Schizosaccharomyces pombe: one gene and its partners. The gene in region 1 interacts genetically with each later gene. Each region holds a gene or a part of one and is shown on either strand. Other genes may lie near its edges.

Evidence for each region.
Region 2: mutations in ste20 (region 1) and nbr1 together harm fitness more than expected from each alone (negative genetic interaction), as found in Schizosaccharomyces pombe (one large-scale study listed by BioGRID).
Region 3: mutations in ste20 (region 1) and chs2 together harm fitness more than expected from each alone (negative genetic interaction), as found in Schizosaccharomyces pombe (one large-scale study listed by BioGRID).
Region 4: mutations in ste20 (region 1) and shr3 together harm fitness more than expected from each alone (negative genetic interaction), as found in Schizosaccharomyces pombe (one large-scale study listed by BioGRID).

The regions. Positions count from the first base shown.
Region 1 is NC_003423.3:2,472,934-2,482,927, forward strand, and holds ste20 (target of rapamycin complex 2 subunit ste20), read left to right. Parts: upstream 1-2,945; 5' UTR 2,946-3,205; coding exon 3,206-7,135; 3' UTR 7,136-7,529; downstream 7,530-9,994. Other genes in the region: SPOM_SPBC12C2.03C (methionine synthase reductase), read left to right, coding at 697-2,412; SPOM_SPBC12C2.01C (uncharacterized protein), read left to right, coding at 7,998-8,954; PAK-like kinase Nak1, read right to left, coding at 9,313-9,994. UniProt on the Schizosaccharomyces pombe protein: Component of TORC2, which regulates multiple cellular processes to control cell growth in response to environmental signals. TORC2 is required for cell survival under various stress conditions.
Region 2 is NC_003423.3:983,136-990,278, forward strand, and holds nbr1 (protein Nbr1), read right to left. Parts: upstream 5,375-7,143; 5' UTR 5,170-5,374; intron 4,867-5,169; 5' UTR 4,703-4,866; coding exon 3,509-4,702; 3' UTR 3,248-3,508; downstream 1-3,247. Other genes in the region: SHREC complex ATP-dependent chromatin remodeller Mit1, read left to right, coding at 1-3,189; subfamily NudF ADP-ribose diphosphatase Ysa1, read left to right, coding at 6,423-7,040.
Region 3 is NC_003423.3:1,092,264-1,100,434, reverse strand, and holds chs2 (chitin synthase-like protein 2), read right to left. Parts: upstream 5,215-8,171; 5' UTR 5,078-5,214; coding exon 3,078-5,077; intron 3,031-3,077; coding exon 2,250-3,030; 3' UTR 2,207-2,249; downstream 1-2,206. Other genes in the region: vrs1 (valine--tRNA (Val) ligase Vrs1/Vas1), read left to right, coding at 1-2,135; SIN3 family co-repressor, Clr6 and Rpd3L histone deacetylase complex subunit Pst3, read left to right, coding at 5,782-5,827, 5,919-8,171. UniProt on the Schizosaccharomyces pombe protein: Plays a role in septum formation. Has no chitin synthase activity.
Region 4 is NC_003423.3:1,173,218-1,179,967, reverse strand, and holds shr3 (chaperone protein Shr3), read left to right. Parts: upstream 1-4,054; 5' UTR 4,055-4,102; coding exon 4,103-4,213; intron 4,214-4,602; coding exon 4,603-5,139; 3' UTR 5,140-5,488; downstream 5,489-6,750. Other genes in the region: mef1 (mitochondrial translation elongation factor G), read left to right, coding at 1-1,888; translocation subcomplex subunit Sec66, read right to left, coding at 2,529-3,107; mtx1 (metaxin 1), read left to right, coding at 5,884-6,750. UniProt on the Schizosaccharomyces pombe protein: Involved in amino acid permease processing and required for the efficient translocation of structurally related amino acid permeases from the endoplasmic reticulum to the plasma membrane.

The DNA of each region.
Region 1 (9,994 bases):
AGTTTATTAACAGACACTTTGTTTTGCCCTGGTGGCTTAAGGTACCGTACATCTCATTCCTGTTAACAAGGTAGCTAGCATCTTCACCTGTCCTACTACCACCTACTTGTATCTTCGTACACATACACCACCCAAGAGAGGCGACTTTGCTTCATATCTGATACAAAACAAATACAATACAAATTATTCTTCCACATTTGTTTGTTTGCTTCACTCGTTCTCATTTGCCAGCCCTTTTTATCGCCTTTGCTTTTTCCTTCAGATCGTCTGGTTTTAACTCTACTTTTACCACGCCTGTAGATTCCAAAAATTTCTTTGAACATCGTACTAATCGGTTTATCCTTTTACGTCTTCTCCTTCTTTTTATTTAAAATTATCTTTCTAGGATTCGGGTTACCCCACCCATTGGTTTGGAATCGTTGTGTCTTGTGTATCTATCTTATTTTTAATCCGTTTACTCGTTTTCTTCCCCTTCTCTAAAATTTTATTCTTTTTTTTTCTTTTGTTTTGTTTTGTTTTCTACTTTTTACATCCTTGACTTTCTTCCTTACGATTGTCATTTTGTTTATTTAAAAGTCTTCACTGTCTTGTTAGTTTCCATTTGTAATTCCTTTTCATCCGGCAGCTTGTTTGCCTTTTTCCCCTTACTATTTTTAATACTTTTCTCTATCCACTTCTACTTTATTTTTTCTCAAGATGGCACCTTCTGTTGCAACCTCACTTAAGGCAGAGATCCTACCATCTCCGCGTACCTCATCTCCCTCTTCGAACTTTAAAACGTGTGTTTCCAACGAGAATGGTTGTATAAACTGTCGTTGCTCGCCTTCGGAACCTCATGAATCGGCCAATGTCGATGAGTCGGTAAATAAACTTTCCAAAACCTTCTCCAAACTTTCATTAAACCCTACCTTCCAGGCTTTGAACATGGATCTAGGTCTTCTACATGAAAATATTACTCTTGACAGAATTCCCAAAGTTCCCGAGAATCATGTCTCTTTGATTGATATCGATGAGGCTCGTGCCAAAGAAGACCCCAACTTTCAAATTCATTCAACTCCTTCTAGAATGCCTCCTCACTATGTTCAACCACACCCTCCGTTCAGTGTCTTTCCCGCCCCTATACTAGACGTTCGTGAGCTCACTAAACCAGGTGCTGTCAAACGTGTGTTCCATTTTGAACTAGACGTTTCCAACTATCCCCTTCCTGAAGGCGAAGAGTGGATGGTTGGAGGGTCGTTTGGTGTAATGGCTCCCAACAACGAAGAGGATGTGGATGAGCTTTTACAATTACTTCATATCAATCCCGACCAGGCAGATGCCCCTGTCCTTTTAAAAACCGATGGAGGTCGTTGGCCCACCATCTGGGCAGAAGACACACCTAGAGAACTCGTTACAACCAGGCGTGAGCTTCTTAAATGGACCGTGGAGTTTATGTCTGTCGCCCCAAAAAAGCAGCTTATTCGGTTACTTGCCGAATACGCCAAGGATGATACCGAGCGGCAAGTTTTGTTGTTTTTGGTCAGTCGTTTGGGACAACGTGCTTTCTGTGATTTAAGGGACCACAACGTTACACTTATCACTCTGCTAAAGGCTTTCCCTAGTGTTCAACTTCCTCTTGATCACCTTTTAACCGTGCTTCCCCAGCTTATGCCTAGATGGTATTCTTTGTCAAACGATCCCAAGGTCAGTAATAATGTATTGGAATTTGCGGTTACAGTTGTTGAAATCAATAAAGTTGAAGGAGGCACTCGTTCTGGTATTGGTTCTGGTTTTTTGAAAAGATTGGCATTGAGATTTTTAAATGGTGAACGAGATCTCGTCCTTCCAATGTACCGCGGTCTGCACAAAAACGCATTTGCCACACATTTTGCTTCTGATGGCCCTATGTGCCTAATCGGTGCCGGTGTAGGTGTTGCTCCCTTTAGAGGTTTTGTGCAACGACGTCTTACAAATGCCACTTGTGCTGGTAAAGTTTGGGTTTTCCATGGATGCCGCGACCAAGAATTGGATGAGCTCTATCATGGTGAGTGGGAAAACCCGCTTCAAAAGTCTTCAGACGATGATGCATCTTCTACAGTCAGCCAACAAACCGAAACTGAAATGGATTCCTTCGAAGTTAAAAAAGACGGTACTAGTGGCCCCAACCATCTTGTTGTTGAATCACGTTCTCACCAACATGCCTATGTACAGGACGAGATTCGACACCGTGGTGACATTGTATGGAGTGTTCTTAGTCATCCTCATGGGAAGGTTTATCTTTGTGGTGGTAAAAAGGGATTTTTAGATGGTGTTGAAAATGCCTTGATTGATGTTTGCGTTCAATACGGAAAAATGAGCAGGCTGGAAGCTACCCAACAACTTGCTCTTTGGCAAAGTCCACTTAACCTTAAATACATAAAGGAGATTTGGTAAATGAATGAAGTTGTTTATCCACGTTACCAATATTTATTTTTTCGTTAAAATTTTTTTTTTGTTTACTATCTTTTCACATTATTTTCGATTCTTTTCTGTCTTTTTTATTATCGTTTCGTTTTAAAAAAATCTTTTTTGAAATGTTTCGAAAGCAATATTTGTATCTCAAAATGGCATTTTAATTCTATATTGGCTTGGGCATATCTGTTAAAACATTTTTTGTTTAGCCTTTTGTTTCCATAAATAAAAATATAAACAAATTTTAATAGTTGATTGTAGTAATATAATTTACTCATCTTATTCTCTTGCTTTGATTTATCCTTCATGTTTTCGTATACTGTTAACTAGCAATCTTGAGACTGTAAAGTAAACATTAAGGATTCGATTCTTTAGTGAACCAGTACCTAGTATCTAATTATTTATTAGCGAATTCTAAGGAAATTTGTTTTGCCCATTAATAGCGAAACATCACTCCATGTCGTACAATCGTTAACGCCGGTAACAGAACTCCGATTAAGTTCAGCCGTTGGGGTATCCATGAGCATACGAGCATAGTTCGCAAGCATTATCATTTTAGGACTCTTCACAATCTTAAGTTATTATTTAAGTGTTAATATCTTTAATTTTACTAGATTGCTTAAAAATTGAGAGTTTGACTAGCCCAGTAAGCAATCGCGTGTTGCACGCAATAAGTATTAGTACGAAAACATACTATCCCTTTATAAGGCTATTTCATGAAGGCGCTTATGGAAGGAGATAGCTTTTTTATTCCTGCTTTTAATGATCAGTGCTCATGAAACCTGTGCGAAGGGGACAAACCGATACTGCTTTGGATATAAGTTCCCATGCCAAAACTAATGGTGACTTTATCAAAAAAATGAATACCACTGATTCAAAAAGGCTCAAGTTACTTGAGGATTTGAAGGGAAAGCTCGAAGTTGAGTGCAAAATACGGGATGGCGCTGAAACGTTGCTGCAAGTCTTCGACACCAATTTTAAAAAAGAAACAAAAGAACGTAAAGAAATGTTAAAAAAGAAATGTACCGATGAGCTCGAATCATCTAAAAAAAAGATAGAGGAATTAGTTTCTAGCATTGAATCTTTCCAAGGAGAAAATGGTGAAGCAAAAACTGGCTCAACCAGTCTCACGAGGTCTGCTTCTGCGACTGTCAGTCGAAAGAGCTCATTGCAGGAAAAGTATAGTACGAGATTTTCTTACAAAGCAGGATGTAGCGATAGTTGCAGTGTTACAGTCAGTGGGACTGGTGAATTAATAGGTCCTACCAGAAATGCGCATAGCAATTTAACTCCTACCGTCATTCAAAGAATTGACTTTGAAAATGTCAACGAAAAAAATAATTCTTCTTCTGAAGATACTCAACCTAACGGAAAACGTCCTTCTAGTTTGCAATCGAATTTCTCACAATTTCCATTAAATCCTTGGCTTGATAATATATATAAGGCTTGTCTTGAAGGCAGTATGAAGGATGTAATCGATTCCTCAAATAATTTATGTGAATACTTACATGAACATTCTGATCCCGCTTATGCAAAAAACTTCTCCTTGATTACTCCGACCATACTTTCAATGCTCGAGTTGAATGTCTCTGAAGTTACGGCTTCTGTTTATAGACTACTAAGGCATTTGTTTCTTGACGCAACAGCATTCTCTTGTTGTCAAATGTTGAATTTACCTTGGATCTTGTCAAAGTCTCTACTTTCTGGTACCGATGCATATCAAATTGAACGAGAGCAAGCATTCCGACTAATCCGAACTCTTTATTTTCTTTCATCAACTGAAGGACATGAGGATTATCTTTCAGGTATTACGAGGACTATCATTTCAATTTGTGAGCATGTATCAGATGTTAGTCGTGGAATTGCTGTTGAAACTCTTATCGAGTTAATGATTATTCGACCAAAAATTTTATTTAAAGCTAATGGTTTAAGGGTTTTAATGATCTCCCTAATCGATGGAAGTATTTCTGAGAATTTAGCAGCTAGTGCTGCACTTGCATTAGTATATCTTTTGGATGATCCTGAAAGCGCTTGTTACGTAAATTTACCCTACGATATTGGCATTTTACTTTCACCTTTTACTAGTTCTTCTTCGCGAGATACATTTAATTCCTCTGAGGAACAGTCTGAACAAGCTGCAAAAGCCATGAAATCTTCCGCCAAAGTTGCCTCTGTTTTGCTTAATTCATGGTCTGGATTATTGGCTTTGTCTACCAATGATTTTCAGGCTCTTCGGTCGATTGTTGATACACTTCGGGTTCCATCCTTTGCTCCACGAAGCGATGTAATTGATCTTTTCTTTTTAATTTTCCAAGTTGAGTATTCAAGTTGGTCAGAGTCTTTTTTGGCCGGAAAACGATTAACAGTCGTTAAAAATCAGGCTGTATCTAATGATGATAACATAAACATGGTTAATATACCGGATGGTTCCAACAAAAAGTACATGTCGCTACGCCAACATTTTACAGCCGTCTTATTATTTATATTTTTGGAGCTCGGTTTGGTTGAATCTATTGTATGTATGATTAGGGCCAGCGATGACCCATCAGCCTCACGTAAAGCTACATATCTTCTAGGAGAGGTATTGAGGCTGTCTGATGAGCTACTGCCGATTCATTTAGGAGCCAAAATACAATCCTTGCCATCTTTATTTAATATGGCTTCTCAATTTACTGCCGAAGACAGGTTTGTTGCCACTTCTGTTCTTCAATCCATTGAAAGTTTGAATAGAGTTAAATTCCATTCTGCAACACAACCTTTCTCGCAGACAACCTCTCTTCTTTTTAAGGAGCAAAAAACTGATGGATCTTTTCGGGGGCAAAGACAGGTTGAGCATGTTAAATTGAAAATGGGCATGCAGATTGATGATTCACATTTTCGTAGTATGCTAGCTGAAACCAACGTGTTAGCTACAAAAAACTATCAAAAATGGCGATGGGATACACTTGTCCAAATTATGGAGGGTCCATTGCTAAGTCCGAAACGTATTGATGAAACTTTGCGAACCACAAAATTTATGAGACGGCTTTTAGCATTTTATAAACCCTTTTCCAACAGATTTTCTTCCATACAAAACACTAAACCAAATCAAAAATTTATAAAGGTTGGTTGTCTTGTTTTCAGGACTTTACTAGCCAATCCGGAAGGCGTTAAATATCTTTCTGAAAGCAAAGTGATTAAACAAATAGCAGAATCTCTTAGCCAGATAGACGGATATTCAGAACAGGTTTCTGAGCCGATTTTCTCGAACAGTAGGCTTCAGAAAACCCTCACCCACGGTTACTTTCCTATGTTAAAAGTATTGTCAAGCCAAAAGGAAGGTCATGCAATTATGGAACGATGGAGGATTTTTACTACACTTTACCATTTGACAGAATTGAGGAACAGAGACGATCTCATAATTATTTTTCTGACTAATCTTGATTATCGGCTAGAGGGGCACACACGAATTATATTTTCTAAGGCGCTTAATACCGGGCAACAGGCTGTACGCTTAACTGCAACCAAGCATCTTGCGGCTTTAATCAATTCTGAGTCTGCCAATGACAACTTAAATCACTGGGCAATTTCTCTATTGATATTTCAACTGTACGATCCTTGCTTGGAAGTATGTAAAACAGCAGTGAAGGTGTTGAATGAAGTTTGTGCTCGAAATGAAAACTTGCTGGCTCAAGTTGTTCAGCTTCAACCTTCATTGGCCCATTTGGGTGAAATTGGCTCACCTTTACTTTTACGTTTTCTTGCTACAACTGTCGGATTTCATTACCTTTCTGAAATTAATTTTATTGAACATGAACTCGATAATTGGTACCATCATCGAAATATAGATTACGTGGATTTATTGGAGCAAAATTTTTTCCTTTCTTTTGTTTCAAATCTCAAAATTATTGACAAGAAAAACAATGAACCAGATGAAAATATACTTCCCCTACACTTTTATGGCGAATTAGTCAAATCTCCACAAGGTTGTGAGGTTCTCGAGTCTTCTGGGCATTTTGAATCTTTTATGGGTACCTTGGTGGAATTTTACGATAAACCGTTAGGAAATGAAGCCATCAGGCAGTTAAAGAGTGCTCTTTGGGCTATAGGAAACATTGGAAAAACCGATCAGGGTATTACGTTTTTAATTAACCATGATACGATACCGTTGATTGTCAAATATGCCGAAAATTCATTGATTCCTACTGTTCGAGGAACTGCTTATTTTGTATTAGGCTTGATTTCCAGGACTTCTAAAGGCGTTGAGATACTCGAATCACTGCATTGGTATAGCCTTATGTCTTTAATGGGCACTTCACAAGGAATTTGCATTCCGAGACATGCTGGACAAGTATTATCAACTCCAAGGAGAAATGTTGAGTTTGTAAATGAGCGCGTGCCAACTCCTGAGTTTTCTTCATTACTTAGCTCTTTAACTAACTCAGAGAGAGAGGTAATTAGGCTCGTTTCCAATTTGTCAAACCATGTTTTAACAAACGAGTCAGCACGGCAACTAACAAAGATTCGTTCGAAAAATGCTAAAGTTTTCTCCTCTAAACGTTTGGTGAAAGCTTGTATGACCATTCTGGGAAAATTCCATTACCGTGTTCAGATTCAACAATTTGTATTTGAATTATTTCCTTACTCGGTTTTATTGTCTTCCTCAACCTCACAGGACTTAAATGAATCCCCGTCCAGGCCGAATAATTTGTCAATTTCCGCATGAACTCCAAATTTCCGAACCTTCACTTTTCTAAAATTTTTGTAAATTAATGATTTTTATGATTTCTTATTATCGTTTTTCTTCTGTTATTCAATAAGTTTGATCTTTAGTTTTCTGCTTATTCTTTGACCTTCCCTCTTTGTTTCTTTTCATAAGTTTATTTACTAAGTTAGACTAGTGTTTACATAAAAGGTGATTGCGCTAGGGTTAGTAATGAGTTTATAATTGTTTTTGGATGTTTAAATTATTAATCTAATATTTATAAGACATGTCTGATACTTGCGGATATTTTTTTGAATTTGTGTAGTTTAGGTAGGCCTGCTTAGCCCCTGGCCTCCATACGATAGTAATATGAACAAGAATATATTGCCTTTCATCTTTTCGTGCTAATTTTTACTTTGTACGCTGTTATTATCAATATAAAAATTGCGTACCACAAAGGTGTACTTATATGTAATACCCATGCTTAGCAAGTTATGCTCAACTTCCACATACAACGTATGCAACGAACGGCAGCCTCATGTTATAGTAAATTAGCAAATCCTATATAACTAAACGAAAGTGTATTTGCTTAACATATCGTGGAGTTTGGGCATATTTCTGCTCACAAGTAAATCTCATACAACATCGCATTTGGTTTTAATTTGTTTTGGTTGTTCGCAAGGAAGAAGATTATTCTTTAAAAAAAAGGAAATAAATTTATAAATATAATTTGAAAAAAAATATATATATATATATTTGGGTTTTTACACTCTTTTGACTACATAACTCGATAGGTTTTCGGATTTGTTTAATAGACAAAAGAAGGAAGTACGTTTAAGGGTTTATTTCTATGGAACATTATTGATTTTTTTTTTTTCTTGCTATGTACAATGTGACATACAGGTTACTTCGTCTAAGCTTGATTTCTTCTCATTCTTTAAGAAAATCACGGTCCTTCGATGTCAAAAACTTTGCAAATATTCATTTTTTTATTCCCTTACCAAACACACCAAAAAAGTTTTATTCTGTGAATGCATTTTCCCCTTTACTAAAAGCACGGCGCATGACAGCTACGATTGTAAGCAATCATAATGTTGGTTGTTCATGTTGCTACTTTCGACAGTATAGCACAAAACAATTTCGTGATTTAAATACCAGTGAAGCTCTTTCTCCATGTAAAGCTGAACCGATACCCTATAAAATCATGTCTTCCATGAGTAATTTTTCAGATTTTAAGTCTCGATTTTCACAATATCGAGAATCACATTTAAAGCTACTAAATGAGCTTCAAAATGTTAAAGACACAAATGATCTAAAAGACAGAATACGCTTACTTCATCTCAATAGCTCTTCTAAACTTAATGCTTTTTTACACGATCTTATAAACGCGCCAAATGTGTCAGCAGAGATGAAGGAAAATTGTGTTCGTCTGATTTTTTTTGGAAGGAAGTATGATCCTTTTCTTAGATCGAGGATGTTCACTTTAACTATTCGTTACTTTCTACTTCAAAAAAATAGGCTTAGGACTAGTTTTTATTTATTAAAACATATGGAGTTATTGGCTCTTCCTGCTTCTTATGAATTGAAAACAACTCTTTTAGAGTGGTTCTTACGAAAACGAAAATTTGAAACAGCTCAAAAGATTTTCCTATCGCTCTGCTTTTCCCAACATTTTCCCTCCGAAAAGTTATTGATGGTTTTACTTCTTCATGGGACTGAAACTATGCAGGAATATGCGATGATACAGGCAATAAATTTTGTGAATACAGAACAAAAGTTACGGTTTTACGATAGACTACACTCGATTTGTAGCAAGTTAAAGTTTTCCTCGACGGGTTGATGCTTTGGTAATAAAAATGGTTCATTTGGATGGTTATTTAAATACAATATTAAGATTTCTACTGTTTGGGTATTTAGTAAGGTAAATTAAATCATTGTAATTTTCGTTCAAATTGTAACTCATATAAATTAAATTATCCCTCATCTTGTTCTTTAGTTATTATCACGACAATAAATTTACGACTCTATTCCTTAACCGTGGGCACTATTTTAATTTAAATGTTCTGTATTTGGCATCATTATCTCAACAATTTAGATTTTCATAAAAGATGAACGAATATATTAGCAAAAAAAGAGAAGTTAAAACATTAAATAAATTAAAGATTATATTATGAAAGGACTAAAAGCATCATAAACAGTTATTCATTATATGCTTTTCTGTTTAAAAGATTACATTCCAAGCTCTTTAGACAAGCGTCCATTTCTCCCAAAACGATGTCTATTTCTAAGCTCAATACAGACTTTATATTGTGCATATTACCTGGATAATCATTAAATAATTCCATATTTAGACCTCGAACCCCCAGAGAATCGTAATTATCATTTGCTAATGGTTGAACGGCCGGTGAGCCAATGGATAAAGGGGGTAAATGAGCTCTTAATTTCGAATTAAATGGCTTAGGAGTGGACGAACAGGAGGAAATTTTAGGAGTAGAACTAGCGGATTCAAGACTAGGTTTATGCAAAATAGAGGGAGAAATCGATTTCGGAGGAGGTATACTAATTGACCTATTAACCTCTAATGGCTGTAGCACTGCCGAATGTTTATGCGCTGGCGCTTCTAATGGTGTAGATAGTTGTTCAAATGCGCCCATCGATATACTTCTAGATTGGAGGTCGAATGAGGATGGCATACGAAGACCCGGCTTCATTGGTGACATGGATATTCCTCGTTTTCCAAGAGAAGTTTTTTGACGTTGCACAACTCGAGGCAGGGGTCGTTTGATACTTTGATCCGATGAGGTTTTGGAATTTGAGCGTGTGCGACCTACAAACAAATCGTAATCTTCAGCTTGCTTAGTGTGTTTCGATTGAATGGTT
Region 2 (7,143 bases), 1.5 Mb from region 1:
TGTGATATTGAAGAGATAATTGCTTGGAGAACTCTAAACAGTTTATATCCTTCAAAAGCTACCCTTTCAAATAATTTTGTTAGTACATCGGACTTGAGCTTTTGGTCTAGAGAGTATTTCGTTCGAAGCAAAGGTAAGTCTTACCTTCACTGTTTTTGGTGTTCTGCTTCATGGCTAGCCGGTATTTCATTAGCTAAAAAGAAAAATTTCGATGGTTTGGAGAATGCCTCATACGACGCAACTAAGCCCATTATTCCAGTATCGTATACAATAATCGATAAGGTTTGGGATGTTCAATATAGAAGTGGAAAGAATGCTCGAACGGCAAAATATAAAACAAAAAAACATCAACTGAAGGCAATTTCTGAAGTTACATTCGCCTTTGTTTCTTGGCGTGGTTTAACTTATTATATGTCAAATTGGGAACCACCTCCTAAAGAAACAGATAGAAATCGCTGGAAAGCGTGGTTAAAAGGGTATTCGGACTTGTTGGAATGTCTATGGATCGAAAAAGCCCCTACAGCTTCGATAAATATTGATTTACCATTTACTAATCTTGAGTGGCACTCTCAACCAAGTTTTATCAAAGGTGGTACACTAATGCCATATCAACTGAAAGGGCTGAACTGGCTTTATTTACGATGGTACACACATCATCCTTGTATTTTAGCTGATGAAATGGGTTTAGGTAAAACTGTACAAGTAATATCTTTCATTAGTGTTTTATTTTACAGACATAAATGCTTCCCGGTACTGGTTATTGTCCCTCATGCCACTGTTGCAAATTGGGAACGAGAGCTTAAAAAATGGGCTCCCTTTCTACAAATTAATGTACTCGTGGGCTCTGAAAAAAACAGAAGTTTAGTCCGTGATTATCGTCTAATCAATCAAAAAGACCCAAAACATGTAAGCACTCATGTCCTCGTTATAAGTGCTTCAAATGTTGAACGTGAAATTTCATTGCTCCGAAAATTTCAGTGGAAAGTTTTAATTGTTGACGAAGGACAACGACTAAAAAATGATCAATCTTCCCTCTTTTATTACCTCTCTTCGGTTAAAAGTGACTTTAAGCTTCTTTTAACCGGGACGCCATTGCAAAATAATGTTCGGGAACTTTTTAATTTACTGCAGTTTTTAAATCCCATGAAAATAAATGCTGCTGAGCTTGAAAAAAGATACAGCATTATTGATACGGAAAAGGTGACTGAACTTCATCAAATCTTAAAGCCGTTTTTTTTAAGAAGAGTGAAAAGCGAAGTACTGGATAACTTTCCTACGAAGGTTGAAGTAATTATTCCTTTGTCCATGACACCTGTTCAAAAAGGTTTATACAAATCGATTCTTTCAAAAAATTTGTCTTTGCTACGTAATATTACCGGCTATGCTAATACCAGTTCTTCTGGAGGGCAAAGGACTACTTCATTGAACAACATTTTGATGCAACTTCGAAAAACATTAGCTCATCCGTACATTTATTCACCAGATATTGAAGACCGTAATCTCCCGTATGAACTTGCTATGCGTTCACTGGAAGAAGCCAGCTGTAAGTTTTTAATATTACGCTTATTGGTACCGAAATTGATAACTCGCGGGCATCGTATATTATTGTTTTCTCAATTTATCCAGCAACTCGATATCCTTGAAGATTGGTTTGAATATAAAAACATAGCCTATGCACGTTTTGATGGCGCCTCATCGGAAATGGAAAGGCAGTCAGCAATCGACTCTTTTAATGCTCCTAATTCTGAGTTGTCATGTTTCTTACTTTCTACCCGTGCTGGTGGAGTTGGCATCAATTTAGCTAGTGCGGACACTGTTATTATACTAGATCCTGATTTCAATCCTCATCAAGACATGCAAGCGATTGCAAGGGCTCATCGATATGGGCAAAAAAAAAAGGTACTTGTCTTTGTGTTAACTACTCGAGATTCTGTAGAGGAAAAAATCATTCAAAACGCTCAAAAGAAGCTTGTATTGGACCACTTAATTGTTGAGTCATTGGATCAAAATCATAATTCAGAAAAAGATTTAGAAAGTATCTTGCGGCATGGGGCTCGTGCATTATTTGAAGAGGCTGGTGATGAACCGTCTATTAAGTATAATGAATATTCGGTAGAATTACTTATCTCAGAAGCTGAGAAACAAGAAGATACTTCAACTGATGAATCAGATATAAAAAGCAATAAGTTTGGCTTTTTTCGTGTTTGGGATAACAAACATATATCTTCCAATCATTATGAAGTCAAAGAAAATGTTCTTGTTGATGAAGAAGATGTCTGGTCAGTAATACTTAAGCAACGAGAGAAGGATGCAATGCTAGAAAAAACAGACGAAACAACTTCCAACAGGAGACTTCGTGCACACCACAAAATCCATTATGGCGAAGATTTAAATATTTATGATAATAGCGACGATACTGATTATACCGTTAATGATCGATCATCACCAGGCTCCCCATTTCCCATAGAAACTGAGACAATCAGTTCGATAACAGATACTTTATCTGATAAGCAAAAACTCAAATATGATTCGAGCGTAAATATCGAAAACTTAAATGATGAATCTGATTCTCAAAAGTCTGCAGATGTTCATTTTGACTCTATCTTAGCTAAATCTCTATTAGCAACAACTCCCAAAGAAGATGAATTTAACAAAACTCTATCCACCATCAATTTAGAGGTGGCTAACAAATTAACTTCTTCAGAGTATATTAATGATTCGGAAATGCAACTGATAGACGATCCAGTTTTTTACCCACCTTACGAAATAATTGAAAAAAATCATCAACTGGTTGGAAGATCTTTGTCTAAAGCAGTTCTTGACAACTTTTTTCTACTGTCTTCTTTGTCTGATAATGTACGTTGTCGATGTTGTGGTATTAAACATTTACCAGCACATTGTCCATTAAGCATTGTGCCATTAGAAATATGCTTTTTATGTGGAACACCTCACTTTAGTGGAAGGGACACGTGCCCTATGTTACGAAATAAGGAAGCGATTTATAGACTAAAAGATTCGCTTAGCAAATCACGAGAACCATTTCACATCAAAAAACAAGCTATGGCTAGATTAAACTCGTTTCTACAAAAAAAGGAGGAACCTACTGTATCAAGCAGTGCCAAAACTAATGAACTTTCATCGAAAGTAATCATAAAGGAATCCATAATTAATGAAGCAAAAACTCTTTAGAGTTTTATCATCAATGTATACTATTATTTAATCTGGCATATTCATATGTATCCTGCATTTTATTCGTTAATATATAATTTTTAATATAAATTTTAAACATATATAGCATTTCCATCAAGATCATTATAACAAGGTAGGATCAAATATGGTAACAAGTGATTCAACTCTGAAGCAAATCATGAACTTAAAACCGGCGGTTATATACGAACAACCGCCAGACAAGTGGACAAAAGAAAGAAATATAAAACTGAAATCAGTTTCGTTATCGTTGTCTTCCACACTAAACTTCTACAGGACATAAAAAGCGTTACGAATGGTTTCAAAAAGACGACTTACTAATTCTGCTAAAAGACTTCGGTACACGAAGGAAGGCGCAAAGACTTTTGTGAAAAACGCTACCATCATCGGAGCAGATATTAAAAAATGCGGTAAAAATCTCTTTGTTACTTTTTTCAGGAACCTTCAAAGCAACTGTAAAATTAACATCCTCACCAGGATGAACGGAAGAAGTGATAGGAAACGAATATGGATTGTCTCCTGGAAAAAGTTTGTCTCCACCATTAAACTTGACATACAACGGAGAAGGCCACGATTGACAAGAAGTATTCCTTATATGCCATATTTTATAAAACGGGCAGCCAGGGCTTAATTCTAAGGGGAGAATGGAGTCCTCAACTAACTTGAAGTCGAAATTAAGAACCTTAGGTTTTTCAGGTTTAGATAAATGTAAAGGTGAAGCAGATATTTCGCGAGTTAAACGGAGCATTGAATGATGATCATGATGCACATGAGATACACATGAGGAGCAAAGATCATAGTCTTCACAAACCAGACAATGAAATCTTGGTCCAACTATTGGATGAGCAAGACAGTTGTCACATTGAACCGATCGATGTACTGTTGAGGCAGACTCAAACAATTCGGCTGATAGGAACTGAGGGAACAAATGAAATGAAGGAAGACCATGAGGATAAGCTTTAGTAATTCGAACGAAAGCATGCGTGTTTGAATGACTATTGTCGGTAAGGCAAGACTCACAAATGTCGTAGTCATCACAAACACTACACTTGTAACGCACATTATGTATAGGTTGCTCACAATGGTCACAAATGGCGTACATAAAATTAGATTGGGGAGAAACTGACATAGAATTTACGCTGCAGGTTAAGGAAGCAACTGAAGGGATTGAAGAGCGAACAAGTACGAAATGGGGTTTTGGGCAAGGATGGAGGAATGCCTGTTTCGCATAGCAGTCTCTACAAACATCGAAATCGAAACACTTTGTGCAATGAAATGAGTCATTCCGAATTATCTTGAGGCAAGTGTTACAAGCAACAGAAGAAGACCTTAAAGTAGGCGAATTATTATTGTGCTCAAAAATGTTTGACTTTAAATTATTCTCCTTAGTGAAGTGGATATTAGCGACTGAGGAATGAAAAGGAGGGAAGGAAGGAACACTATGGTTGCAAAGAATCCCACAATCAGAAGAGGGACATGTACGATTGCAAAGCATTTCGGGATCAAAAACGTGAATAAAATAAAATAAAATTTAATGATAAAAGAGAGCGTTAAAGAAAGCAAAAAAAAGAAAAAAATCGCGTAAGCAGTCAAGAAGTAACTCGAGTTCTTAGGTAAGAGAAGGTCTTAATTGTAGGTAAAAAGCTCTTTCGAAATAAGCTAAAGCAAAATTAGTAACGATATTAACTAATGAAATTAGTTGCAAAGTAAAATTTAATAGTTCATATGAATTTTGAAATTGAGGAAATATGTGACGCCGAAGTGAGCAACAGTGCTAGCAATTTCAGAGTAAAGGCAATAGAAAAAACAATCTTTATCAAGACAAGGATTTTTACGTTCTCGTAAATATTTATCGAAGATGTTATTATTAAAGTTCCATCAACCACTTTAGTCCTTCAATCCTTTTTGTAATTTGTTGTACAAACATTGAACTTAAGACTTTGTGCAAGTAAATTATCTTACCTATAGACGGAACAGGAAATAAAGACAAAACAAATAATTGAAGCGGATGTGTAGAGATACAGTGCAAACGAAATGTAAGGAGCGTTGGAATTGCAACTATAATGACGGGTTCCTAATTGGTTATGAAATCAAGCTATTAATTCTAAATGGGATGTATTCAACGGGTGAAGTGAGCAGGACAAATTCGCTAGTAGAAGTTGATGGTAATGTAAATGAACGAGGTCGAGGTGTAAGCTTATCACACGTATATGGGGGATGAGCATATCGTACTGATAATAGATAAGTTAAGCGTCGCTAAAAAGTGGTAGCGTTTAGAAGCGTGCACAGCATAAACAGTAACTTAGCGAATTTATCTACAAGAGGTTGGTACTTCAACGCATGGCCCTAAAAATGAATATATGAAAAATTTTGTTGATGTAGCAAACTTGAAAAAGAAATTGATTTAGTTAAATTGGAAACTACTTAACTTAAGCCCTAAAATGTACTTAGAAATCGGCTTAGACATTAAACTAGATATGGGTTATGGCATAAATGTAATTTAAATGAGATGTGAGTCGATAAAGTATTAATATTATATATTCTTAAATCATAAGTTGACGCTATTCTAATATCAATAAGCGATTATGAACTGAAAACGTAAATAAATGCAATTTCTCTTACAGCGTAAAATCTTTTACTACAATAATAGAAAAGGGTAGGAAAAACTCCATTATATTGGCTAAAACCGGTCACGGTATCTTTTGATGATCCGTTTGTAAAATCAATTGCAAATGAAAAGACACTAGAGAAGGTGATAAACGACCAGTTTATAGCTAAGTTAATAATTAATGGTATACTCCGCGTTATGATTTTGCTCAAATAATAATTTTGGTTTTTTGCTGATTGTTAATATTTACATTAATGAAATTTGTAAATATACGTCAAAACAAATTAACATCATACTTACATTGTCATACTAATCGCACGTTTACGCATTAACGGGAAAAAAGTAAGCAATATTTCAGTTGGATTTTAAGTCACTCATGCACCGAAATTTTTTCCAGCATATTATTAAAAGTACAAGAACATTAGGTATAAATGCAACTTCATTTCTAACCCGATATTTACTTAACGTTGGTAGACACCAGCATCCTCCGAAATTGATTAGCTCATATTCTCACATCGCTATTTCCACCTTCTCTTTTCAAATATCAGCAACTTCATTCCAACACCCTTCATACACTGTCAAAGGTTTGAGCACCTGTATTGATAAAATGAGCCAAGATCAAAAACCTAAAGTTTTGGAAGTGTCCAACCTTGAGAATCAGGATGCCAAGTGGACATCCTTAAAGAAAATCCGTTGGCAAGACGAAAAAGGAAAAATCAGGTTTTGGGAAATGGCTGAACGTACGACACGTTCAGAAGCCAATGTGGATGCCGTAGCCATCTTAGCCATTGTTCCTATCGACGGAAGTCCTCATGTGTTGTGCCAAAAGCAATTTCGTCCTCCTATTGGCAAGTTTTGTATTGAAATTCCAGCAGGTTTAGTTGATTCTAAGGAGTCTTGTGAAGATGCTGCGATTCGAGAGCTTCGTGAAGAGACTGGCTACGTTGGTACTGTTATGGACTCCACCACTGTCATGTACAATGATCCGGGTCTTACGAATGCTAATCTTAAGATTATACTGGCTGACATTGACATGTCGAAGCCTGAAAACCAAAATCCTCAACAACAACTTGACGATGGCGAATACATTGAGAACTTTCCAATCAAGCTTTCTTCTTTACAAGAGGAATTATTTTCTTTAGAGAAGAAGGGATTTGCCATTGATGTTCGTCTCTCCACATTTGCACTAGGATTACATGCTGGTCTTAAATACTTGTCGTCTTAGCTATGCACCTTTTGCTATTCACTGAATTACGACCGTTTACTATTAAATGTTGCTAATGGACTTTTTATGCTATAACTTTCCTTTGTTTTAGTCAAACTTTATT
Region 3 (8,171 bases), 1.4 Mb from region 1:
TGAATTGGTGTACTGCTTTACAAACAACTTTATCAAACCTTGAGGTAGAAAACGTTGACGTTCCTGGCCGTACTTTGCTCAAGGTCCCTGGATATGATGAACCCGTCGAAGTGGGTGTATTGACTTCCATCGCTTATGCCGTTGAAGGTTCTGACGAACGAATTGTTATTGCTACTACACGTCCAGAAACACTTCTCGGAGATACTGCTGTTGCTGTTCATCCCCAGGATCCTCGTTATAAGCACCTACACGGTAAATTTGTAAAACATCCCTTCTGTAACCGTTCAATTCCTATCATCTGTGACGACATAATCGTTGATATGGAATTTGGTACCGGTGCTGTTAAAATCACTCCAGCTCATGATCCTAACGATTATGAAGTTGGAAAGCGTCATAATTTGGAGTTCATTAATATTTTCACTGACGATGGTCTTCTCAATGAAAATTGTGGAGAATTTGCTGGCATGAAGCGTTTTACTGCTCGTGTTAAGGTTGTTGAACGACTCAAGGAGCTCGGCTTATTTGTTGGTACCAAGGAAAATCCAATGGTAATTCCACTTTGTGGGAAGACTTCGGATATTATTGAGCCAGTCATGAAGCCTCAATGGTGGGTGAATCAAAAAGAGATGGCTGCAGCCGCAGCTGAAGTTGTAAAGTCTGGTGAAATCGAAATTGCTCCTGATATGTCTCGCCGAGAATTCATTCGCTGGATGGAAAATATCCAAGACTGGTGCATTTCTCGTCAATTATGGTGGGGTCATCGTATCCCAGCCTATTTTGTAAATTTAGCTGACGAACCTTCTCAAGATCGAAGTGAAGGCCGTTATTGGGTTACTGGTCGTACTTTGGAACAAGCAGAAGAGAAAGCTAAAGCTGCTTTTCCTGGAAAGTCTTTCACACTAGAACAGGATGAAGACGTTCTTGATACTTGGTTCTCCTCCGGATTGTGGCCTTTTTCTACCCTTGGCTGGCCAAAGGATACTAGCGATTATGAAAATTTCTATCCTACTACTCTGATGGAAACAGGTTGGGATATTCTTTTCTTCTGGATTGCTCGTATGGTAATGTTGGGTCTCAAATTAACCGGAAAGATTCCCTTTAAACGTGTATTTTGTCATGCACTCGTTCGTGATGCTCAAGGCCGCAAAATGTCTAAATCATTGGGAAATGTTGTGGATCCTATAGATGTCATTGAGGGTATTTCTCTACAAGCATTACATGATAAGCTTTTGGTTGGCAATCTCGACAGCAGAGAGGTCGAAAAAGCTAAAAAGGGTCAACGGTTGAGCTATCCCAAGGGTATACCTCAATGTGGAACTGACGCTTTGCGTTTTACCCTCTGTTCCTTGACTACTGGTGGTCGTGATCTCAACCTTGATATCCTTCGTGTTGAAGGATATCGTAAATTCTGTAACAAGTTGTACAATGCTACAAAATTTGCTTTGGGTCGTCTAGGTTCTAATTTCGTTCCTAACAAGACTGCCGATCTTACTGGTAATGAATCACTTGTAGAAAAGTGGATTTTCCACCGCTTGAACATCGCAGCAGCCGCTATGAACAAAAACATGGAAGAAATGAACTTCCTTCAAGCTACTTCAGCTGTTCACCAATTTTGGTTGTATGAACTTTGTGATGTTTACATTGAGAACTCAAAATACCTTCTAAGTGATGGTACAGAGGTACAACAAGAATCTGCTAAGCAAACCCTCTATACTGTCCTTGACAACGCTCTTCGTTTAATGCATCCTTTTATGCCATACGTTACTGAAGAGATGTGGCAGAGACTTCCTCGTCGTCCTGGAGACAAAACTCAGACTATCGTTAAAGCTGCTTTCCCAGTTGAAAGGGTAGACTATTCTAACGAGATAGCTGCTAAATATTACGAGTCTATCATTACTGTCGTTCACTCTACTCGTTCAATGATGGCTGAAAATGGAATCAAATCAGATGCTGTGGTATACATTCATCCTGATGAAGAACATTCCAAACTCATTACTTCGGAATCTGCCAGTATTCAAAGTCTTATCAAGAAATGCAAAACTTTAAGCATCGTTGATAATACTTTTGATTCGGACAAATGCGTTAAAAACGAGGTTTTAGAAGGAAGCACTATCTTTTTGGAACGAAACAACTAGATTAACAATCGAAAACTTGTATAGTAATTGAAATTACTATAAATCCCCTACATTGTTTCATTTTAAAATATCGGTCATAGAAGAAATATTTACAAGATAAATTTAGTTGTATCATTAAGGATCATTAAAAATGTAAAGTTTTGATTTCACACAATTAGCAATTCGTGAAATGATCTTGGTAGCTATGAATGTAACAGCTCCCATGGTTTTCCAAGCAGTGAAGGCTACGATACTCCAAAATATATACTTCATGTAGCCATTATTAATAAAACGCATGCCATCGAATACCTGAATCAGAACAATGGCTAAAATTAAGTTGCTTACAGCCCAAACTAGCACATAACGAGTACGAATGTCTTGGTAGTGATCCTCATAGGATTGTGGCTTCCGATAGCAATGGTCCTGAACATCGTGATAAACCGAAGTATCATTAGAAGAACTGAAATTTTTTAAAGAAGAGTTATATACAGAATTCAACACGTTGGCTTTTGGAATACTGATTGTAGTATAGCCTTCGTCGTTCATTGAACAATGGGTAATACCTGTGTCAAAATTAAATTCTTGCTGGTTATCATCCTTCGAAATTGAAGCATCATCAAGATGACAAAGTGCATATATTTGCTCAGTATAAATGCGAGTTGGCATCAGCAGAATGTATTGCACAATACAAGTAAAGATAAAAAAAGGATCCATACAAATTAAAGAAACGAAAGCATAACATGCTAGAATTAATAAAGAAGAGAAAATTAAGGTCGTGAAATAATTGTTGCCTAAAACAATTTCAGAATTATCTGAGTTGTGTAATGGTATCAATGAAATATAAAAAACACAAAAAACGAAATAAATCATAATAATGGAAAACAATGCAGTACTAATGAACAGTAAAACTCGACAGCTAAACAATTAGTTAATATGAGAAATTTTTAAAACAAACATTCATACCTCCGTGGTCGATTGCCCATTGCTAGCATAAACTGTGAAAAAATTAAACAAATTAGAATATATTCGAAAACCAGAAATAAAGGTCGGGCCCAATTACCATACGGATTCAATGAGCTGTATGAAGTGGCATTGCATACAAAGTAGAAGGCCAAAAAGAAATTTGCCATTGAGAAAAAATTCACCAACTTCTCAATTGCAAAGACGAGCGATTGAACGGTGAGCAAAAGGAATCGAAAGAACTTGTGCCGGGTAGTCCATAAAGAAAAAAAATCAACTATAACATAGACAGCAAGACTAAAGCTACTGTTAATTTCAGATTTTTTAGACTCTAGTATTCCAGCCATTGAATTGGGCGCTTCAATAGTAGCACAAGCTTCAGGTACATATTGCAAATGCCATTTTGCATCTTTTCGGGTGATTACTTTCCAGAAAAGGAGTTGTTCTTGTGCCAAAAAAGCATTGGATTGTAAGATACCTCTCCTAGGAATTTCATATTGGTCTTGCTCGAAATAATCGGCTAGTGGTCCAGGGTTTGGATATGAATCTTGCAAAGCGACGTATCGAAATCCATAAATTGCGTTAAGCGCATTTGAAATATAACCCATGCAGCTGTCGTACGGTAAGCGAAGATTGTTATGGATCATTTGGTCAAAATGTTGAGAAGCAATGAATGGATTTAACAGTCTAAAGCCAAACTTTCCTGTATCAATCGAAGTTTTACCACACATTCCTCCAATAGTGGAATCAACATCAAAAGCTTTCCACGCATGATAAATAGATGTTGGGCCAAGCCTTGCACCGTTACGAACAAAGAGACAAACCTTGGGACGAGCAAGCGATGCTATACCATTTAAAAACCAGCGATGCGAGTTATAAGTGCCTAGACGACGGTCCTTAACACAGAGTAACATCTGCATTGGAACGTTTCCGTCACCAGTCGCTGTTGTAAGATTGAGTTTCTCATCAACGTTGATGGTACTTGTGAATTCATACATATGGGATAAAGTTCTTTTTCCGTTTACTCTCCCTTTAGCAATGTGAGGTTGATACACTCCTATAGATGCAAGCAAGTCCAAGACGTTTTGGTGAACAGTGTTACGGCCATCAATTACGACACATACTAAAACCTTTTCCCAACTCTCATTTCCCCATACCCGCGACTTAGACCGTGAGCAAAGATGTTTTAAATTATTCATGATACTAGAAAGAGAAATGGCAAAAGATGCCAAATCCTCATCGCTAAGTGTTAGACAAACAGCAATTTGAATGTCGCGACCCGTGGACCATGTTCGTAGTTGAAGCCCATTATTATTCATATCTTCTGGTTGGCAGGTAATGGCCGAATACCGCAGGAAACTTGCTTCATCGGGGTTTTTTTGCATAAATGGACCAAGCATGCCACGTAAGTCTATTGGCGTTGGGCAATCAATAGTCAGGCTTCCACATAATAATGGAACATCTTTGGAATAGTGCGAACTTGATGAATTCAAGCGATCAATCGAGGTGTATGACTGACTGTGCGTCATTGGTTCATTGACGGGCGAAGCAGAGATTTCTGAATTAAAGTCCAGATACTCATTCTTGGAGGAATTTTCATAACCGTCGTCTGAGTTACTATTCACAGTATGGGTTGGTTGAAGAGGAACGCTAAAAACTCCAGTTTTGTGAAGTGGAGGGATAGGTGGCTCGTGTTCATCAAATGAACGCTCCTCAAAATCGTAAACTGAATCTGTGTAAGAAAAAGCATCTTCTTCCAAGGTCCTTAACGTCTTCATATACTCGACTTTTTGATCGTCAGGAGATTTTATCTCATCATACTCATCGTAACAAGGAAAGCTTTTAGAAGAACTCGAACTGAGGGTCGAACTAGAATATGCTGTTTCTTCATCTACACTACTGTGACTGACCCAGTTTCGTAAATCCTGCGAATCTTGAGTGTCCTTAGGTTGCAAGAAGGACCGGTGTTTAGCATTAATATAGCTGGGATTCTGAAAACTCATGTTGATGCTTTCAAAAATTTCCACAAAGCAAGAAATGAATAAAAGTGTTTGGGTTGTTTGATATTATAAATTTTCCAGATAGCGATAATTCCTTGCTTTTAGAGGGCTTAAGACGATCAATACCAAAGCCTCAGAACAAGCAGAATGATGGACCACAGCTTGCTTTTATTCCATTCGAAATTGTTACTGATTTCATTGTTTACAAATTTAGAAACGATGTTTGTTTACGAAGCAGATGCCATAGTAACGAGGTAGCCATGCAACGCGTGCGTAGCCTATGAGAACGTACAGGAGATGCAGCGCCATAATTTGTACTGCGTACTCCGTAAAATGAGAATAATGAGCAAAAGGGTATAGTATTTTTTCAACGTTCAAAAGTAACGAACAGTCAAAGATGCTAGATGGGGCAAGGAAACGACTAAAAAATTGATGTCAGAATTTCTTGACACAATAAACATGAATTAAAATTCTTTACTCTAATCAAAGAATGAAATTAATGATTTTTAAATTCAACTCAACTGCTGATGTTTTGGAAATTAGTTAAGGTAGGCAGGTGTGTGTAGCACGCACGTTACGTGATGACATTTACTTGTGTCAAACACAACAAACCAATCTTACCTTTCCCGTAACGCGATTCAGACATTGCAAGACTGCAACTATCGAGATAAAGCAGTCATTTCTGTTGCATTTATGAGTTTTTAACCATGGATGTAATGAATGTGCCTGTCGACTCAGAACGCGACAATCCTGGTAAGTTTTTACATGCTTCTTCTGCGAAACATCATTTCGAGAAACAATCTTGGTTTATGAGGTTCGTTTTTAACAAATGCTAATATTATAGGCGACAAAGTTGAGACACAATCTGATAAAAACCATTTACCAAAAGCGTCACCGTCTCAATCCCAGTCACCTGTAAACACCTCTTTGCACAATGGTGATGGAAAAGATAATGGCGTAGCTACTGAACCTGTTGAAAACAAACAGATTTTATCGGAAAGAAGTGTAACTCGCGATGATTACGAAAAAGGAAAAACCATAGTTTCCTCGCTCGCCTTATCATCGATTTCTGGTAAAGATGGCTCCATTTCTTCACAAAATGCAGAAGGATTAAGTTCTTCTTCTAATCGTCCTTTGGATGTGAACGATGCGCTTTCCTATCTTGAGTTAGTAAAATATTATTTTTCTGAACGCCGAGAAATTTACAATCGATTTTTGGAAATTATGCGCGATTTCAAATCTCAGGCGCTTGACACCTTGGGAGTTATTAATCGTGTATCAGAGTTGTTTAACGGTTACCCTCAACTTATTGAAGGCTTTAACACGTTTCTTCCATCCGGTTACAAAATAGAAGTACAATTGGACTCTTCAAACACTAGTGTTGTACGTGTAGGTACTCCTATGCACCCACTTCCCCAGCAGGGCGTCCAAAGTACATTGCCCGTGGCTCCATCTAATGAAGATCAGCGAACAATGGAATCCACTAGTCCTACTGACTCTCAACCTCAGCCATCTGCTCCAAATTTAGTTTCCAGTACTGAAAACGAGAAGCCTCGGGTAGATTTTAACTATGCGATTGCTTATATGAACAAAGTTAAGGCTCGTTATCCACCAAATTCCGACACGTACATGGAATTTTTAGGTGTTTTGCGCACTTATCAGAAAGCACAAAAGTCGATTTTTGAAGTGCGTGCGAGGGTCGCTGAAATTTTTAAAGATTCACCAGATTTGTTGGAGGAGTTTAAACTTTTTCTTCCTGATAATGTTGATTCAACTGAGCCATCCACCCCTAATGTTCAGAAATCTCCAAACCGTCTTCCTCCGGTTGGGAATTTCAGTCTTCCCCCTTCTGCACCTGTACGTGAAAAAAGAAATCGACCGGCTCATTCTGCCCAAATCAGTAGATCGATATCTAAAACCTCGAGGATGTATCGACAAACTGCTGAAGAGCCATTGAACTCTTATTCCCTTCATGTATATCCGCAAAAAATCACTGCTCCCACGTCCCCTTATGCTGCTACCCAGGAAGAATTACTAGCCTTCACAACGATTAGACAGCATTTACCTGACACTTTAGCCTTTCACAAGTTCCTTGAGCTTCTTCATCTTTATCGGGAAAAGTTATTGGATAAAACAGAATTATTAAATTCTTTTTCAAAACTTGTTAGAAATGATAATTTGACATTGTGGTTTTCCGAATTTATTAGGTGGAGTGATAACCCAATACTTGTAAAAAACGAACCGGTGGACGAACGTGTTTATTTACCAGAAACTTTTGAGTGCATTTCACTGACTTATCGCAAACTTCCGGATTCCTGGAAACAGGACAAATGCTCAGGTCGTGATGATTTGGACAATTCTGTTTTGAATGACGATTATATTTCTGTAGCTCCCAAACCATCCCATGTCAAAAATATAATGCATCATGAAAATCAGTACCTACAGGCATTGCAACTAGTAGAAGACGAACGGTATGATTACGATAGAGTTTTGAATACTACCGAGTCTGCTATAAAAATACTTGCAAACTTTTGTGAGCCGACGATTCACGAGCATTTAGAAACCGCCCTTCAAGAACTCGAGCGATCAAAACGAATAATTAAGAACGCCCTTATAATCGTTTATGGCAAAGAGCATGCAAATTTGGCTCTTGACACTTTATTTAAAAAATTACCCACTGCGGCTCCTGTACTTCTGAAACGTATTAAAACCAAAGATCAAGAATGGAGACGAAGCAAGCGAGAGTGGAGTAAAATTTGGCGGCAAATCGAAAAGAAAAATGCTCAAGCAGCATTTGACGACAGATATTGCAGAATAGAAGGGAGAGACCGTAGAGGATTATCTTATAGCCGTATTCTTCGCGATATTGATGACATTTATCAACGACAAAAGCATCGGATCGATGGGGCCAAGTTGGGGTTTCAGTTTACCCAAGTTTTATGTGATAGTCTCATATTTTTGAATATTTTGCGGCTAAGTGATGCTCAGTTAACAAACTCTTCTTTTTATTCATACGCTGACAAGGGTCGAATTAGTGCTGTTTTGAAAGCTTTATTATCGCAATTTTTTGGCATTCCGCTACCTCGCGAAGCACTTG
Region 4 (6,750 bases), 1.3 Mb from region 1:
GAAAAGTTATAACATTAATATTATTGATACACCTGGTCACATTGATTTTACCATTGAGGTGGAGCGTGCCTTACGTGTGCTAGATGGTGCAGTGTTGGTACTCTGTGCTGTCTCCGGTGTTCAATCGCAAACTATCACAGTTGATCGACAAATGCGCCGCTACAATGTCCCCAGGATCTCTTTTGTTAACAAAATGGATCGTATGGGTGCAGATCCGTGGAAGGTCATTCAGCAAATAAACACAAAATTGAAAATTCCCGCTGCAGCTGTTCAAATTCCTATAGGTCAAGAAGACAAACTTGAAGGTGTGGTTGATCTTATACAAATGCGTGCAATTTATAATCGTGGGTCGAAGGGTGAGAAAATCGAAATTTCTCAGCAGGTTCCTGAGAATCTTATTGAACTAGCAAAAGAAAAGCGCTCAGCTTTAATTGAAAAGCTTGCCGATTTAGACGAAGAAATTGCTGATATATACGTAATGGAAGAAGACCCTACACCTGAGCAGCTTATGGGAGCTATTCGTAGAACTACACTTGCAAGGAAGTTTACACCTGTATTAATGGGTTCTGCCTTGTCCAATGTTGGAGTTCAATCTGTTTTGGATGCTGTTTGCGACTACCTACCCAACCCTTCTGAGGTCGAAAATATAGCTTTGAATGCAGCAGACTCAGAAAAGCCAGTATCCCTTGTTCCTAGCAGTGAGAAGCCGCTTGTCGCTCTTGCTTTCAAACTCGAGGAGGGAAGGTTTGGCCAGCTCACCTATTTGCGAATTTATCAAGGTACACTCAAGCGGGGTAATTACATTTACAATGTCAATTCTACAAAAAAAATAAAAGTTTCACGCCTCGTTCGTATGCATTCCAATGATATGGAAGAAATCGAAAAGGTTGAAGCTGGAGGGATTTGTGCGTTATTTGGTATCGAATGCGCTTCTGGAGACACCTTCACGGACGGTTCCGTATCGTATACTATGACTTCAATGTTTGTACCAGAACCCGTAATTTCACTTTCTTTAAAACCGAAGAGCAAAGATACAACCAGTTTTTCTAAGGCTTTGAATCGCTTTCAGCGTGAAGATCCCACTTTTCGTGTGCAGTTGGATAATGAATCGAAAGAAACCATCATTAGTGGTATGGGTGAACTTCATTTGGAAGTTTATGTCGAACGTATGCGTCGTGAGTACAAGGTTGACTGTGAAACGGGTAAACCAAGAGTTGCATTCCGGGAAACTCTTTCCAAAAAGGTACCTTTCAGCTACCTGCACAAAAAACAATCTGGTGGAGCCGGTCAATATGCAAAAGTAGAAGGGTACATTGAATACATGGATGGTGTGGAAGACGAATCTGGAAACGTTGTTGATTGTGAATTTATCAACAAAGTTACCGGTGGAACAGTCCCTACGCAGTATATTCCAGCTTGTGAAAAAGCTTTTTACGAAGCATTGAAAAAAGGATTTCTCATTGGTCATCCTATAAAAAATTGCAGGTTCGTTTTAGAAGATGGTGCTTATCATCCCGTTGATTCCTCTGAATTGGCATTTCGTTTAGCCACCATTTCTGCTTTCCGTACAGCTTTCTTGCAAGCGAACCCAATGGTTTTGGAACCAATTATGAACGTAAGCATAACGGCGCCTGTTGAACATCAAGGTGGTGTAATTGGTAATCTTGATAAGCGTAAGGCGACTATTGTCGATAGCGATACAGACGAAGATGAGTTTACGTTGCAGGCGGAGGTCCCTTTGAACAGCATGTTTTCTTATTCCTCGGATATACGAGCCTTGACTAAAGGCAAGGGTGAGTTTAGCATGGAGTTTCTCAAATATCTTCCAGCACCAAAATATGTGCAGAAGGAACTTGTTGACGCGTACAACAAACAACAACAAAAATAATTTTTGAAGTCCGTTTTAAATGAAGCAACAGCAAAGTTTTTGGTAACCAGTCATTTCTATTTAAAAAAAAAAATTTTGATCCACTCTCCTCTTTACTAACGCAGCAATCTACATGCAAATAAAAAAAATAAATACCCAGATTATTACCATACAAGTAATGTACAATTTTTTTTGTGCAAGATAGTTCATGGAACAGAGAATGAGTATATTAAAGAATATGAAGAGTAAATTATAGACCAACTTATAAAGGCTGAGCTCTTAACGGAGACATTTTGGCCAGAACATACATTTGAATTCCAATAACTTGTTTTCAAATAGTGCTTTTTTCTTTTTCCTTCTTTCTTTCCATATTTTTGTTATTGGTTTGGAAAAAAAAGGGAGTAGGAATAGGATGATAGATAATATGAATAGGAAAAAAGTATGACTTTCAATATAAAGGTAAGGACAGTGATAAAGCAAGCCCCCTTTATGGAGTCTATTACTGAATTTGATTTATGAATGAGTTCTAAGGATTATTGTATAAAATAGGAATTTTAGTTTCAAAGAAAGAAAAAGATAAGAAAACGTAAAACATCAGATGCAAGAAAGAAACAGGAAAAAAAGAATAAAGGCACATACGAACATCTTTTTTTAAAACAATTTATAGCACTCCAAGTTCTTTTTGGGCTTGAATACGCAATTCCTCATCAGCGGCTTCATACAGAATTTTTTCGGTTTGCCAACGTTGCGAAATAGAATCAATGTCCTTGGGAATATTATCAATTATGCTGTGAATTTTTTCGTTTTCAATTATTTCATTGCAAGTTTGGAATATAAACTGATTCCATCCAGGCTGCAATGAATTGGCAGTTTTGGCAATATCCATCAACTCCAATTCAGTTTCCTTTTCCAAACGACCAAACTTACGAATTAGCTCGTCACCAACGCCGCCGCGGTTGAGCAAATTATTCAATGCCATTCTCGATACTTTAAGCTTCATCAATCGACGAAGACCTTCTGTAGCCCGTAAAACGAGAGCAGCTTTCAAAAGTGTATCCTCGGCAGGTGGATTCTGCTGCAAAAGACTGAAAAATATATTTCTAGAATAATTTTCTCCAAACCATTCTTCTGATACTGGTTTTGATTCCTGATTTTTGGATTTTCGCACAAAACGAGAAACTCCATACATAGAGCCCATTAAAATGGTAATATATATCAAGGGAACGTAAATCGACACCATATTGAATTAATTAACACGGCCAAGTATGTAAAGCAAGCAGGGACCTTTTTCTTTAACAACTCGTATACCCTTTTTGTATTATTTGTTTTTTGCAGAGTGGACTGCAAATATGTATATGAGATATAACTTCGAGACCAAATGAATGCAAGACCAGTTTAGGTGTGAAAGGAGAATAGTGTGTTTTCTGGAATGCTTTATATTTTATAAGGTTGATGTAATTTTCTGTTATTTGTAGATAAGAGATATTTATGTTTTCTTAAAGACGCTAAAATATTTTACGCGATGCGCTATTAGATAAACAAATCGATCGGATATTGTTCAATTGTTTGTTTAAACTCAGGTAAAAGTTTTTAGAATTAGAAATGAAAAAAATTTACTAATAGGGAACTAGGATAATAAACAATTGAGCATTTTAGAAACAGATTTTGCGACCATTGTGAAAACTGACGAAACATATAGTTAGGAAGACAAAAACACCTCATTTATGAAATTATTTCTTTTTTTCAAGTATACAAAGGATCTTTGTATGTTCTTCTATATTGTTTCTGTAGTTTTATTAGTATTTTTACATATCGAGGCATTGGCATTCATTTGTTTTATTTACAGCCAATTAATAAATTCCCTTATTTTGATATAAGCTTTACAGTCTCGCTTAACTTGAAAACGCTATGATGTTGTGTATTCAGTTACAATAAATAGTGACATACAATAGTCGCTCAAATATATCTGGTTATATTTTATATTAAATAATTTTGCCAACTGATTTATCTTGGGTTGATTTTTCTTATTCGTGAGATTTAGATAGCCGTTCATGATGTTTTTCTGCATACAATGCATATTAGTGGAAAATGCGTTCGATTTCCTTATACTCATACAATCCTTTAGACCGTCGAAAGCGGAGTGGTATCACTTTGGTATAAAAAGGTAGTCTTAATTAACCTACCACTAACGTATATTTTCATTAACAAAAAAAAAGTTTATTATCATTATTCAAGATGGCTAAAAGATCCATATTTCGTTTTGCTGATGAAAAGGGCTTGAAGGTCGCTGCCCGTTATGGAGTCCTTATGTCAACTAGTTTTATTTTTGCTTTACTTTTCCACAGCGTATGTTCCAATCAAATTTCTATTTTATTCTAAGATTATTCATTTGAAAATCAACTTTCATTTGATATCAATTTCGTTTAGCTTTTGGAGACAAAGGGAGCAGAATATGAGAAATTATAAGTCGGTACTTTGAGTGAATTCTGAATTTGTTTTACAAAACATGCATTGTTAAAATAAATCTGGAAAATTATTTTATCAGGAACGTTTCTAAAAAGGAGCTTTTTGTCTGTTTAAGTTTTCATAATCGGATACGAGCATTCATCTTACCGCTCAATGTTTGCCGCGCTGCTCATTTTTCTGTTGTTCTTATGTTTTTGGAGCTTCACTTCGAATTGATTACTTTGTTCATAGTCTTTATTTTCTTAGCATAAATTACTAATGTCATTTAGAGCGTTGCCGATGTGAATACCTTATGGAGTCCTGGCCCTGAGTCTGCTTTCGATGCTGCTGAAACTTACTATACTTTGGTGGCTGGATCCCATTTCATTGTAAAATATACTGTATATACCATCATGGGACTTAATATGATTTTCCATCTTATTCAAGCCACTGGCGCTAAAGGTGATGACAAATTGTTCTTTTACTCTAGCACGCTTCTTTATCTTACTGCACTAATTTTGTTTATTGTTAATGTTGCTCCTTCTATGTTGGTTGTTAAGCTACAGAATTATGTTCAATTCCCACGAAATATGCACTTGTCCGTTCTTGCTGCTTCTCATGTTCTTGTTGAATTTCTTCTTGCTGGTGTCATTCTTATTCAACTTGGATACGTTTTCGGATATCATGTTCAAAGTATCCAGCAGCGCGAATACGCTGAAGATATGAGGGAGCAAGAATTAGCTGAAAAGGCTAAATTGGAATCCGAGTCTGCTACTACTCAGAGTGTAGAAACTGTTTCCACCGAATCTGTTTCAAAGCGCAAGTAAACAAACCACTTGGGTCTAATTTTACAACTTTTGGAATAGAGTGAACTATTTTATATCTTGCTAATTATTGTTGCTAGTCCGTCATCAACTCTTTGACGCAAAGTTTATGTCTAACTAGAAAGCAAAGAGTGACTTGCATTGACGGTAACTGGGAAAGCTTACATGTGTATTCATACGTACAATTATATATATACAAGATTTATACTGTCTTATATAAGAAATAAATTGACTTGAATTTTCGATAGAGGAATAGTTCGTTATGTTTGGATTTAGAATAGTCTTTAGCACACTTATACTTCTTAATAATTAAATATGTACTCATTGTGCAAAAAGGATTATCACAAGTGAAGCTTTTGTGAGATTGTATATTCTTCTATACTATGGATGCATAAACAAAGTCTCATTTTAGATGGGTTTTACGCTGCAGATACAGCAGAAGCGCCATACAAATATACTAAGTAAAATCTCAAAGTTCAAATGCTCAATCGATTTATTGTGCTAATTATCGATGTTTAATTCACTTTTTAACAACTAATAAATAGGTAACAATGTTACTTGTTCGTATAGCTTACTTGACTGCATAGCATCAGAATGATAATTGTAACTAGCTTCAGCGAATTTGGTAAGTTGGACTAGTTGGTTAGTTATTACCTTTTTTTTCTTTCTTCTGTGTTTCTCTAATCTCAACCCTACTGTAGACGGTAACTTTTTCAATTCATTCGTTCGGGTCATTTTTTGATCAAAATGTTGCAACTTTTCATTTATAGCCCAGGACTTGGGCAACCAACGATGGATCCTGGATGCTTAGCGGCATTAATTTATTGCGCACTTGCCGTCCCAAAGGACGAAATTGAAATTCTTCGCACTGCAAATTCAGGTATGAGCCCTACCCATAAGCTACCAGCTTTGTGGGATGGTCATGTTTGGATTGGATCTTTGAAAAACATTTTAATATACTTGAAACAGAAGGGCTATAATTTGGATAATTTTGATGCGAAACAGCTGGCCAATGTTATGGCCTTCACCAGTTTATTGGAAGGTTCCGTCAATGACCTTTGGTTATTAGAAGCCTTTGTTAATGAGGAAAATTTTGTTGAAGCAATAAGACCTGCTTGGTCAAAGGCACTTAAATTTCCTCATAATTATTTGACACCCAATGCTTTGCAACGGCAAGCAAAAGAACGCTTGGCTCAAACACTTGGTATTCGCGACGAAGAAGTCTCTTATGAAGCATCAAGGATGCCTATTTCTCATAAATGGACTAATGCTACTAGACATAGGCAAGCTCTACTGCGCACGCAAGCTCGTCGTATAAGAATTTCGTCATTAGCTCGGCAGGTATATGGTTCGCTTGAGTCCCTGATTTCAGATTCAAAATTTATATTCGGTGAAAAGCCAACATCTCTCGATTGTTTGTTTTACGCCTATTTATCTTTCCATGCTTTCACCAATGAGCTTCCTCAAGCAACTTTGCGACCATGTTTGCAATTCAACTCTCCCAAGCTTTATGCCTATCTCAAATCTTTACGCGAAACCTGGTTTTCCGATGATTCAAACATACTTTCTCCTTTATCGATTAAAGTTCAACCCGAAAATCTATTGACTATAGCT